3 linked regions of the Lepisosteus oculatus genome follow. The protein of the gene in region 1 interacts with the protein of each later gene in a pairwise test. Links are inferred from orthologs where the notes say so. Each region holds a gene or a part of one and is shown in the gene's direction. Other genes may lie near its edges. The genes, in order: uba3, cpne2 and impa2.

What was found.
Region 2: the proteins of uba3 (region 1) and cpne2 interact in binary tests that used the Homo sapiens proteins (3 or more experiments, as listed by UniProt). The two-hybrid records come from large-scale screens. The link is inferred for Lepisosteus oculatus from reciprocal best matches to the Homo sapiens genes UBA3 and CPNE2.
Region 3: the proteins of uba3 (region 1) and impa2 interact in binary tests that used the Homo sapiens proteins (3 or more experiments, as listed by UniProt). The two-hybrid records come from large-scale screens. The link is inferred for Lepisosteus oculatus from reciprocal best matches to the Homo sapiens genes UBA3 and IMPA2.

Annotation. Positions count from the first base shown.
Region 1 is NC_090699.1:50,387,982-50,392,406, reverse strand, and holds the start of uba3 (NEDD8-activating enzyme E1 catalytic subunit), read left to right. Parts: upstream 1-1,685; 5' UTR 1,686-1,719; coding exon 1,720-1,739; intron 1,740-1,857; coding exon 1,858-1,896; intron 1,897-3,042; coding exon 3,043-3,163; intron 3,164-3,727; coding exon 3,728-3,808; intron 3,809-4,419; coding exon 4,420-4,425. UniProt on the Homo sapiens protein: Catalytic subunit of the dimeric UBA3-NAE1 E1 enzyme. E1 activates NEDD8 by first adenylating its C-terminal glycine residue with ATP, thereafter linking this residue to the side chain of the catalytic cysteine, yielding a NEDD8-UBA3 thioester and free AMP.
Region 2 is NC_090715.1:1,261,781-1,266,205, forward strand, and holds the start of cpne2 (copine-2), read left to right. Parts: upstream 1-1,701; 5' UTR 1,702-1,752; coding exon 1,753-1,798; intron 1,799-4,008; exon of another isoform or gene 4,009-4,143; intron 4,144-4,425.
Region 3 is NC_090701.1:57,182,075-57,186,499, forward strand, and holds the start of impa2 (inositol monophosphatase 2), read left to right. Parts: upstream 1-1,638; 5' UTR 1,639-1,724; exon of another isoform or gene 1,725-1,787; intron 1,788-2,002; 5' UTR 2,003-2,008; coding exon 2,009-2,086; intron 2,087-3,829; coding exon 3,830-3,963; intron 3,964-4,425. UniProt on the Homo sapiens protein: Phosphatase that can use myo-inositol monophosphates, myo-inositol 1,4-diphosphate, scyllo-inositol-1,4-diphosphate, glucose-1-phosphate, beta-glycerophosphate and 2'-AMP as substrates in vitro.

The DNA of each region.
Region 1 (4,425 bases):
ATGAAGCAGACGTTTACGTTACCCGGAATTAAAAAGTAAAGATCACAAAGAATTAGGGTAAATGGTCTTTTATCAAAGTTGCTATGTTCTGTGCTATTGCCCATCCTGTACATTCTGCATACTGACTGCTGTAGGTCTTTTGAGAAAAAAACAGGTGTTTAAGTCTGCTCCTAGACATGGGCCTGAAATGGAGTATTTTGTTGACTGGTGTAACAACTCCTGTCTTCAACTTAATGTATCAAAAACCAAAGGCATGATCATTGATTAAGAAAACAACCACCAGCTGCGAAACCAAAAGTTATCGAAGGTCTGAAACTGAATAGTCATATATTACTCTTATCTTGGCACTAGTGTTAATTACAAACTAACCTTTGAGAAAAACACATGCCATATGTAAGAAGACTCCACTCTATTAATTTGGGTGCTACAACTATCACTTTATCCCAAGGAACTTTCATTGAATTTGCCCTGTTCTCTGTGGTAGATTGATTTGGTAACCTTAATAAACACAATAAAATCAGACTGAGCAGGACAGTGTAGCTAAGGTAGCCAACAACATAATTGGTGGATGACAGCTACAGCTGTCAGACAACCAGGGACGGATTTTGTTGTTTGTAGGCTCTAGGCACTTTCACGCCGAAATGTGCAAAAAGAGGAGTATATGCCAATTGAATTACGTTGATTTACATGATGCACTTTAAACTATTCTAATGCTAAACCACGTGATTGATGGAGCGAGTTGAGCGACCATCACTCGATACTTCTAGTTTCTAGAACAGCCGCTAGATAGCGTAAGATTATTGATTGGGAGCACGTAGAGTCGATCACAAGCATATTGTTTCAGCTCATTTTTCATTAGTCACTAGTGTTTTCCACCTTCGTAGGCACTAAAAAGATTATAGGCCCCAGGTACTGTGCCTACAGTGCCTTGTGCGAAATGCGGCACTGCAGACATCTACATCAGACAAATAGTGTGTCTATCATGGACTGTCATTACTACCCCTTGTATAGTGAATTTGAGCTCCTTCCATCTGGGGACTGATTTAGACTCAAATGCAATAGAACTACATTATCTTTTAATCCAATGGCTAATAACTTGCTTAATTTGGACAATTGATTGTATATTTTATTTTACTTATATATATATTTTCTTATTTATTTATGAATTCATGTTGTATTACTGTACCTTGTTGTTTTTTACCAGACCATGAAGCAAATTTTCCATCTGGGGCAATAACAGTAAGTATCTCAAGAGTTCTGTATCTTAGATTTCTTCTTTTATTTAAGGTGATCTCAGATGTTTTCATATACTGTACATTGTAAGGAAAGGCAGGGTAAGACAAGGTGTGGTTGCTAGATCTTCTGGGTTTTATTCCACACTGGAGTGACTTTTGTGTGGAGTTTGGTTGTTCTCATACTTTTATTTTTCCAAGTGGGTTGCTTTCCTGTCACCTTCCAAAAAAAGCTGTCTAGGTTGACTGGCGTCTCTAAAATGTTCACAGAACGTTTTATGTCACGTATGATCGGGGTGACGCGAACATTGCCAGCAACAAAAATCTTTCTGATGCCGTATAAATCTTGAACTGGTTGGTTGGGGCTGGACTGTTGGCTTGAATTGGCTTGAAAAATCTTTCCATTGTGCTGTTTCAAATCTCCCTCCCTCAAACAGCTGCAGCTCCTAACCACCGCGGCATTGTGGGAGGAGACGGAGCAGGAAATATGGCGGATGTGGAGGAACCGTAAGTATCCGTGAAAGGAGAGGACAGAGAGATCTGCAAATTAGTGCTCATAATCTCATGTATTACCTGCTGAAAAAAAGAGAACACGATTGAACCTTCTTTTATTCTCTCTTTTTAGGGAGAAGAAAAGAAGGAGAGTAGAAGAGCAGACTGAGAAGTTAGTACTGAAATGCTAAAAATATATAAACTGCCAGCAGGTTTGAGGTTACACAGCGCACGGAGTAGTAGAGCATTAATGTGAAAATTCTTTTTTCCATTCGTTGACTGACACATTAATGTTTTGTCTATAAAAGGACGGAAAATTGAAATATTCTAAAATTTACAGTCGATTATAGTAAGGCCTCAGGCTGCTCAAATGTATCGCAGTTTATAGTCACGCTTATAGTAACTAGTTACATGTTTTTAATAACGTGTTCATAAGGAATTTTCACATCTTAATGTTGCGCTCGTTTCTTATTTCGACTGCTATTTAATTAACTCCATTCTTTTATAGAAACATTGCATATAAATTAAAATTATACAATAGCTGTAATACAGGCCTCTACCGATTTCTAATTGTGTTGTTTGGTTACATTGTTTTGTAAACTTTCAAAAGGGAATATATTAAACATAACGTGCTTGTTTTATCAGGATTGTGATAACGATGTTTAGGCTGGAATAGTAACTGTTACACCCCAACAGTTGTTATTGTGAATAGCATGTCAACCAGTAATATATCTGGAGAATTAATCAAAACGTACCAGACAGATAATTATTTCTATTAATTAAAAAGATTCTTAACCCTATTTATTGATAAACGTTCTTCTGGCAAATTTAGTTTCCTCTTGGTAACAGTAATGTCTTAAACAGACTTTATACATAATAAATAAGTTAAACAAGCGTAATTATGGTCAAATACCATCTTATTACAACCTCTGTTGTATTTTGCCAAAAAAAAAATGTACCTTAGGTGTGGTTACTGTGCGATTGGTCAATGTATGTAGGTACTTAAAGCTACATATTCTGAAGTTATTTGTGTCTGAAAGGATAATATATATTTTTATTTATGATATACCTACATTGACATTTGAAGTATTAAAAAAATGGTACAATAGTACAAATAAAGGTACAAGTTTAGATGTTTGACCAACAATGTACTGCGTACTCAAAAGCTAACAATACCAGTTAGCCTGTAAGTTAAAGTCTTTGCACACGCTGCCAACTTTGGTATTGTGTTTTCAAACTACAGGCATTGTGAGCACAGCAGACACGCAAGTTGTTTTCCAACTGATGTTTGTAGCTGAGTTCCTTGTGTTCTGTGCAGAATGGCTGTGGATGGTGGGTGTGGGGACAATGGAGACTGGGCAGGTCGCTGGAGCCATGTCAAGAAGTTTCTCGAGCGCTCAGGACCATTTACACACCCCGATTTTGAACCAAGCACTGACGTGAGACAACTCCACTTTCTCCAGTTGTGTTTTGTACTGGGGGGGAAAGGAAAGCACAGCAAACGAACCCCCACAAGCTTTAAAATGTTGAATGTTTTGAATTACATTTCTTAGAAAATGCAGTTGACAGTTTTGCATGATTTCCATCACATAGTTTTAGTTCCACCTATACACATAAATTCTACAAATGGCTTCATACTGTATTATAAATACGATGCCATGAATTTAATACAAAAATGTTTGCTAACTCGGTACCAATTGATCATATAGTTGATATCAGTTGAAAAGCAGCCATTTAATTTACTAATAAAATAGTAAAAATCCAGTACACATTGTGGTCTTTATTTCAGACTCTACTTCTGTTTTACAATGTAACATGTTTAACATGGTAAAGTTAAAAGAAATCAACACTTAAAAGTGATATTTCCATTTTCAGTTTTAAAATACATTTTTACTCTTTTAATTATGGTCAGGTACATATTGTCACCTGTTCTTTTTAGTTCTGTATGCCATTTGTGTGCGTATTCATAGTAACTCTTTTCTGGTTTTGTGTTTTAACTATAGTCACTCCAGTTTTTATTGGACACATGCAAGATACTAGTCATTGGAGCTGGAGGGCTTGGATGTGAACTTCTTAAAAATCTGGTATGATGCTGATTCTTTTTTTTAAAAAAAACTTTAGATCAGTGTAAACTGGTGTGAAGTTAAGATCTTGTGTGTTTCAATGGGCAGTCAAATGCTTTGCATTGTTCTTAGGGTGAAAAAATGCAGGGAGCTTTGAACGCTTTGAATTTTTTTCATGATGATTGTTTTCTCCTTGATGCTTCTGTTCATGAAATATTTCATCTGGGAGCACAAATGTTTTAGAATGACTTCCTGAACTGCGAAATGCACGTATTAAAATGCTTCTTGTACATTTTTTCCATTTCATGAAGTCTTTTGCATGAATGTTCTTCACTTATAACCGGAAATTATGTTAAAATTATATTTAGAGAATAGGAAAGAAAGTTGAACAAAATGTACCTAACATTCACATACTTCAAACAGTAATTGTCAAATATCTGTGTTTGATAGATTGTTTCTCTTTCAGTATGAATGTCCACGTGCAGGAAAGTTTGGATGAAAACTGTTGTTTTACAATTTAAGCATTGTTGATTGCACTGTACTTTTTTTTGGAATAAGTGACTACTTAAATAAAACGCTGTTGGCATTTGTAAACCTTTTATTCAGATCACTTTTTACCATTATGTTATCAGGCCCTG
Region 2 (4,425 bases), on another chromosome or scaffold:
GTGAGCCCCTAAGAGAGAGAAGCTGGCTTGTGCTCGGCAGTGGAGGGAGTCGATGTACAAAGACAGGCAGGAGAGGACAGCTTAGAGCCAGTTCTACCCTCCCTCGTGCCTCTTGGCTGTACATCATCTCACTGGCAATTTCGTCTGCGTCTTAAAGTTTTTGAGTCTCTCTGGGCCTGTAATAGTGTCTCAGGAGATGCCTGTTTCATCTCCTGTGAATGGTACAGTGTTTGATGCTAATGGCCTTGGGCCCGCAATCAATAAAGATTATTTTGCTCATCCAATACTGCACATAATTCTTTTTTAGTGACGTGGGACTGCTTTCAAATTAAATTGGGATGCATTTTACACACAGAGATAACAATAAGACTGCTGCTGCATCGCAGCTCAACCCATTACGCCGAGATGCATGAGCTCTGTTGCTGTATGATTTTCTCCCTGCGAGAGATACTGGCTCAGTGGCTCAGCGGGACCATTCCCGGAGGAGGCATTGAACATAGAGAGGATTTTACCAGGAGGAGACCAAGAGCTCTTCAGATAAACCACTGGAGGTTTTTCTTAATTGTTGTTCCTAAGTGCGCCTTGCGGTATGTCAGCTGACCATTAGAGTAGCACTCCAGAAAGGGTTGTGTTTTCAGACTCGTGTGATTCCATTTTTAGGTAATGGCTTTTTACAGCTCTTCTCTGGTGAATTAGCAGTGTTACTGCGTAATTCCAGTCACTGACTAGGCACTTCAGTCATCTTGTAAAGCAAGATCAAGGGAGCCTGATGTCTTCTCACCCTGCATGGCCTGTAATAGCACAGTGTTTCCCTTCTTCCCTACTGACCACACAGCACTCGCCAGCAGTCTGCAGCACATCTACCCGAGCAAAACCCAGTGTGGCTCATACAGCAAGTACATGGATCCACAGGGGAGACTCAGACAACAGGAAGTCCAGTTCCCGATGGATCTCTAGTTCATCAACACAAAGCACGAAACCAGAATATTTGGATACTCGTTTTTAGAAGCGTAGCCTGTCGTTTGATCTCGCGCGGCAGATTCCAAGCTGTGCAGCTGACAAGAAGGGCCTCAGCATGGCTCAACAGTGGAGGCCGAGAGAAGGATGTGAGCTCAGCGCTGCACTCTTCACTGTGTGCGAGTGTGAACAGGCTGGGCTCCATGTGGCATGGTGATACCAGGCGGCACCAGGTGTTTCGTTGATCCTCGTCTCTGAAATTTAGGACTTGTTCTAGGAACAAGTGCCAGTGTTTCCCTCGGGGAGTCTAGGAGCTTGTCCCCCGTGTACTGAGATCTGGGGTGCAGCCGGCACTCCTCAAGCCCCAGCAAACACCCCCCCCCCCCCCCCCCCAACACACACACCTCTTCACCTCCCCAGAATGAACCTGACACTGTTCTATTTCCGTTTAACCAACCACATGATAATGCACCACTTAAGGTGCAACCAGTAATTAAAACGGAGGTAAAAGGGATTTCAGTAGCCAGGTAAGTAGTGTTTACACGATGAGATTGTGCGAGGCAGAGTTTCCATTGAGCACTTTATGGTTTTGGAGATTATACCGTTGTTGTGTCTGGATTGAGTTTTCCATCACGTCACAGTCTCTAACTGGAGACTGTATCATGTAGGATGTAGCTATTATACCAAAGGTGCTACTTAAGACAGGGTTATATATAGTAGAGCAGTGGAGTTTGGCAGAAACAGTGCGTGTCTCCTGTGGATTCACCGAGGTCTGCCTGCTGGAGTGTGGATCTCATGATGCATATGCTGTTCGGATTGAAAGAATGCTTTGGAATAAGGGGTGAGTCTCCTGCAGTTTCACAGAACCCTGTCCTTGCTTCGGGAATTGAGCAGGATATTCTTTGCCTGTCACTGGAAATATCTGCAGGGACATAAAAAGTGTAACAAAATAGATCTGATCTTCAGTGATTTGGCCTCTCCAGGAACATGATCACTCAGTCTTTACCACTTTAACCTGGTAGATGCCTTCAGTGGTAGAAGGAGTGTTGTAAAAACGGAAGTATAGCTACGTATTTGTTTAAGAGCAGTTCATTGCTTTGCTGAAACACCAGGGATTGTATCTTGAAATAAATGTTGTGACTGAATAAAGTTGTGTATGTTACTGTTGGCTAGGCATGCTGAAAAAGAAACGTGAACATCCTTAGCCTTAAAGGAACAAGTACTAGGTTTATTCCATGCTGAAAAGAGATGGTTAGCTTATTTCTGTAAGTCTGAGATAGCGAGTACTAAGGTCTTGAAAGAGTTGAGTGTGAGCTCAGACAGCAGCTGTTTTTCTCTCTCCTGTTGGATAGTACAGAGAAACTTGCTCCTAATAGGGACTGAGGGAGATCGGTGTGCTGAACAGCCCTGCTCTGCCTGGAGGTTTCCGGACAGGATTCCCAAGTCCCAGGTGTTTTAACTTCTCCAGCAGGCAGTTCTGATCGGGGCAGTGAGCTGTGAGATCGCTTTGTCAGGCGGTCTGCAGTACCGTAGTCTGAAAGTGGTAGAGTTGTAATGAAGAGGTTACTGGGGCATCTCGACGGATCAGATCAGGAACATAACTCTCCCCCACACCTCCACCGTGCCCCTGACAGTATTTCAGGTCTCTTCTTCGTGGAGGCAGCTCTTTGTGGGGGTCTGGAACAAGATGTCCCGCCGTGTTGATGAAGCCGATACCCTGGCTTCTTTCAAGATGTGGCTGGATAAGCTCCTCCAGTCAGGACAGGAGGCACTACTTTACACAAGGGGTGGTGGGAGTGTGGAACAAGATGCCTAGCAGTAGTGTGAATCCAATATCCTGGGTTCCTATGAAAAATCATTGGATGAGAGCCTCAGCTCAATTAGCTACTGACTATCAAACAGGCTAGATGGGTGTCCATTCGCTGATATCTGTTGTTTCTAATGATCAGTACATTTATTTAGTTAACTTGTTTGTCTGTTTTTGGACAGACGCTGCTGGTTGCATCATATGTGATAACATGTTAATTATTCTTCTTCTGATTAGTTAAACTCCTGAAGGGTGAATTCTTCATGCCTTGGAGAGGATAATCGGTGCCCTAATTCTTAATCTGGTGAATGCTTTTCTGTTCTGCTGTTTGGAGAGAGCCAGAAACCACTGCTGACTTTTTAAACTGTGGGCTCAGTAAGTGCTTTCTCGCTGCTTCTCGCCGCAAAGCAAAATGTCAGAAACAAGTCTCTAAACCCACACAGGAGCGAGAGCTATATTAGACTGGCTGAGGTTTAGAGGATGTAGTTCAGATGGTTGTTATTAACAGCTTGTCTGTGAAAAGTGCTTTGATATATAGAGAGCAGCCCTGAAAATACAGGATGCTAAGGGGTCTAACATTCACCTGTTTTGTTTAATAATCTGAACAGAAATTCTCCTGTACCTAAGCAAACGTACATTTCAGTGCCTTTTGTAATTGCTGTTCTATTTTGCAAGAGTAAAAGGAAGAGAAAGCAGGAAAGAATGCACTTGCCGCACGAAGAGGTGTTTGTGGCGGAGTGTGTCAGGAGCTCTTTCTCCACAGGAGCCCCGTGTGCCCAGGTGGTGCTTTTTCTACACCGCAGGTCAGGCTCTGAAGAAAAACACCCCCGAGGATGGACCTGGGGGGTTGAGCTGTTAGATTTTCATTTTATCTCATTTGCCTCTCTTGCGCTTGATGGTTTGATCATTGACTAAAAGCTAAGTGTTTATCTGGTGCTGCTGTCTTCGTGTCTTTCTAGCTGGATATGCAGTGGGCAGAGGCTCAAAGTTCGGCTTGTGGCGAGTGGGTGTGTTCCCTTGCCTTGCACCTGGGCTCTGTTGCAGTCAGTCATTGATGTGGTGTGGAGCTATTTTCAGCACAGGCTCAGACTGTTGCAATCAGATGGCATAACACTTTGAAAACATGGGTTTGTGCGTGCGTGTGTGCGTGCGCTGTTAGTGTTCACTGGTCTTCTGGGCGTGGCGGAGACTGAGCCTGCCTGATTGCATCACTCTGGGCTGGACTGCTCCTCCTGGTGCAAAGACGAGGCTTTTCAGCAACAGAACAGGTTTTCTAGAGCAGAATCACGTCCAGTCTTGTACCGCATTACACTGTGGATGGAATAAGGCGTAAAATAATTCTGAATTCTTAATGTACACATGAATTGACCAGCATGAAGGTTTTGTCCTTTTTCAAGAGTGGCCTTTAGCTTTAAAGATAATCTGTCATCTTTTTTCAGGGGCTGTATTACTGGCAAGCAGAGTGGAGCTGTGATCTCTTGCTCAGAGCTCAGGATCGCTGTCAGGCAGGGCTCGTCAGATCTGAAACACACGGATCTTTTAAATACTGTTTAATTGAACTAATAAAGCTGCCTATCAATGCAGTTACGACAAAGCTCAGGTAGAATGAAGCATTAAAGATGCTGTGGTCTTGGCGTACTGGAGTTCTGCACCACTGGAAG
Region 3 (4,425 bases), on another chromosome or scaffold:
CTAAAACATTTTCATGACATACACATTAATCCAAGCGATTTGGTTGAAGCTGGAGCCCTCTCCTGGAGATGACATGTCATTTTGTTAGCTGTAGCTTTTATACAGTATGTACAGTATATTAAGTTATCTTGTCCATCTATTAGGATTTTTTAACAAAAGACTAAAATTCATGTTTTTAGTGTTGCTGTGGTTGTGATTTTGATTAGATTAAGCTCATTAGTTTTCATTCATGACAAAATGTTTGCTGCTGCTAAACATTTCACATGCACAAAACTAATTATCTTCCTGGAACAAAGCCAGGAACACGGTTCTGGTCAAGTGTACACTTTGAATCACAGTGTAGAAACTACACTATCAGTACGCGTGAAGCACATTGTCAGTGGGAGTTTATAATAGAGGTCAGGAGTGAGGTCTAACCCTAGTCTCACCCACGTACATATCTGATTTCTTGCTTACTCCCTGGTGCCTTTCATTGTGTGAGACCCAAGCGTTTTCAGGACCAAAGGTTCGAATCTCCCCTTCAGCTTTCAAAGATCACCTCCTCGGGGCAGCTGACAGCTTCGTCCTGCACAGACAGGCTGTCGTTTTTCCTCAGCCAAGAGAGTAACACTCGTGTGAGCTCGCCAATTCAAATCACGCCTCGACTCCAATCATCCCGCCATCCTCATCCTATACAGGATCACGGGGGGAGCCGGAGCCTATCCCAAAAGGCACCAGGCGCAAGGCAGGATATACCCTGGAGGAGACACCAGTCCAACACAGGGCACACACTCAGACTAGGGCCAGTTTTCCCAGAAGTCAACTAACCTACCAGCATGTCCTCAGACTGTGGGAAGAAACCCTTGGCAGACAGCACCCCAGCTCCAGAATCGAACCCAGTGCTGTAAAGCACTAAAGCAGACCACTGTGCCACCTTATAATCTACCTGTTTGAAATAATTTTCTCTTATACAGAATGTATTTATATTTTATATTATTTTGCTGAGTTAATATAGATTCCCTAACTAGTACTGTGGTTCCATGTTTACATGCAATACAACTTCTCTGCTTTTTAGGTCAGGTAGAAAATGTTACTTAAAACATTCAGATCATTTTACAGATTAACTCAATGTTTAAAATTGCATTTGATTTAATTACGTTTTAACAGAAATATGTAAACATTATGTCCTGGGGCTCCATCAGCTTTTTTTTAAAGTGTGAGGTACTTCAATTTCCTGTATGCGAGTTTTATCAAACACAATACCAAACTACTTCATCGATCTTATCTATAAATTTCGAACATACAAAAAATGTGTAATTATTGGTAATTCAAAAATGATATGACACAACACTACTGATTCACCTTCTTATGGTATTTGTTTCACTCATTTTATTGGGATTTTTGTTTTTGCTTAGCAACGTATTGAATTGAAATAAACAGGCAGTATTACTACGCTTTATTTCGTGAAGTCATTTTTTTTTAAAAAAAAAGGATTACTGGATTTAAATGCAAAAAAAAAGTGTGTTGATGCAGGATTAAAATGTAAACATTGATTTGGACATTACATGGTTTAATAAATACCCATTACATAAATTTGTAGCTGCGCAGCTCCGATTTCTGTCATGTGACAAACTAAGAAGGTCAAGCCTGCTGCGTACCTTCATTTCAGAGTGATTATGTTATGTTTCCCCAGACCCGTTTCTAAATCTCGGCATTCATTAATGTGAAGCTGACGTTGATCGGCGGTACTGCTGCTCGCCTTTCTGTTTTTACTCCAATACAGGCCGTAGGTGCCGAGATGCAGATCGGTGTGTAGCTGGAGCACATTACTGGAAACTGAGTAGCCAAGGTTTGGGGGCGGTCTCTTCACATAACGGGGGAAGTCAGCAGCGATCAACCTAGACCAGGAAAAAAAACAAAAAACCGCGGGTTGTGCTGTGATGTTTTGATCGCCTCGAAGGGGGAAATACTGCTTGAATCGGAACGTATTTAAAGTCTGGAAATATCTCCATATTATTGGCAGGGAATCATGACTTCAGCGGAGAACAACAGGCACTGGGAGGAATGCATGGAGTTTGCTGTTCAAACAGCGCGTAGAGCTGGTCAGGTACAGTCCTTTTCAGAGCTTGGTTATCTCTAGGATGCATCGAGGAACACTAAATACATATTTACCTACATTTGAGTTGTGTGTATTCCAGCGGTACTATCCCAGAGTATGTATTTAATATTATTGTAGGGTACCTTCCCCGGGATCAAAAATGCGTTGGCGTGCTTTTTGATCATTTAGAATGATGCAATGATCAGCGCAGTTTTCGAAACTTTAGCCCAAAACACCAGTCATGCGTGGCAACAATTGTTTTGTGTGGTCCATTTTGTGTACACCACTAGATATTTGTTACAAGTCATACTTAGATACTGTGTCAAAGAACGTAATTCGAAAAAAATGTGGTGTCCTGTACCATAAGGTAGCTAGCCGGTCTTGCATCTTAATAATTATATTGTGTTACAGAAACGCGAAGAGTAAAATTGATCCTGTAATAAACCGGGGGAGCTTTGTTCATACATACAGGCAATTGCAGGAGATCGTGGAAGTGAAGATGACGAGGGGTTAAAATTAATGGCTTCCGTTGTGTGTGTGTGTGTTTTTATTTCGCTATACTGCCAGAGATGAAACCCATTTGGTAAATTATTCCAGACTGAATAATTGAATCGACTGGAGTGGGGAGCACTTGTTGTGTATTAGGAGTGTGACTGGGACTGCTGATTGCCCGTGTGGTTCCGTTTCCCAGATGACAAAGCTGTGAGCTGGCTAAGCTGGGCTCGGAAATTGTGCAAGGATGCAGCACAGTGACTTTTGCTGGAGTGGGACCGCAGGGTTCCATTTCATATTGCATTTTAAACTACTGTATATTCATTTTAGACCGTGTCCCCTCTTCCCATAGCAAGTCATATGGGCATAATTAATGACCAGTGGACGGCTCAATTCGGTATTCATTCTGATAGATGCCTGTGTCCATCATATGAAACAATGAGGTCATTTCCTGACGTCTTTTCATTGTGACTTTGTGATCGGAAATGTGTATTTTAACCGTGAATTCTGTTAAATTATGCCGTGCATAACGCAATATGGCTATGTTGTAGATTTCAGGTATGATATTTTCTTTCTAGATTGCTTTCCAAATCGCTGATGAAAACTTGATCTAGTAAATCGCTGTGCTCTCGCTTTACCAACTTGTAGCCTGATCTGCTCAGATACCACAAGCTAAGTAAGGAGATATCAGGATGGAGAACCTCAGGAAAATTAGGTGGTTTTTTTTTTGGTGGTTTTGGTGGATGAGTAGATGGAGCTCTTCCTTCTGGACCAGAATGTCCTTTGGATGGAAATTTAAACGAATCTCCTGATTACGTGGTTATTAATATGAGTAAGTAACTGGGTGTTAAGTTTGGTTTCCCAGCTAAATTCCACTTTGGGCTTTTTCAATCCGGCCTACATAAAGTTCCTCATTAATCCAGCATTTTTTTGACGGTATTACTCACTTCTCCACCGATGCTGGGTAATGGGTCTCTATAGTGCTTGATGGCTGCTGTCCGGTGTCAGCCGTGCAGTCCTGGTTTAATTAAGCCTCTTTCTACGTGTATGAAACTAGTTATAAACTGAAGATTTTTTTTATTAATTAAAACTGAACGTTTTGTTTCCTCGGAGATTAAGACGTTTTTTAGGAAGACTTGATTTAGGAAAAAGTAGAGTTTTCAGTCATTCTTAAATGAGGTTTACTGTGTTTGATTTTCCGGGAGCGCTCCTACTGGAAGTGAGGCTTTAGTGACGTTCTGGTGCCTGTTCTGGTTCCAGGTGATCCGGGAGGCGGTGAAGCTTGACAAGTGCGTGACGACGAAGAGCTCGGCTGTGGACCTGGTGACCGAGACGGACCAGCAGGTGGAGGAGCTCATTATCTCCACTCTCAGGGACAGGTACCCTTCCCACAGGTAGGTGTTGCACCGCGCACGGCAGCGCACGCTCACACGCGCAGGGGAGCAGAGGAGTGTGGCAGTCCTGCGGCCACAACATGCCACGACAGCTCGTCCTTGTGTTTCTTGCATCAGTACCACAGCTGGAATTGAAGTGACACACACTGTAAAACCTCCACACCTCCCCCACAGAGTAGACTGAATGTCCAGGTAAGCTCTGCGTTATATTATGTGATTCAGAACGAGGCAGCAAATCCACTGGTGAAGTGAGGCGGCCTTACTTCAATGTAAACGAGCAGGCTTGTGAATACAGCTCCTTTAGAGATATTGCTCTCCACTTCGAGACAGTTTTGCCGACAGATACTACTTGTTGACTGTGCTTGCAGGTCACGTTGGAACACTTCTGTGGTCAGATGTGTGCTGCATAACCTGTACTTATTGGCTCGAACATCGCAGCGCAGTAGTCATTACCGTGACTAG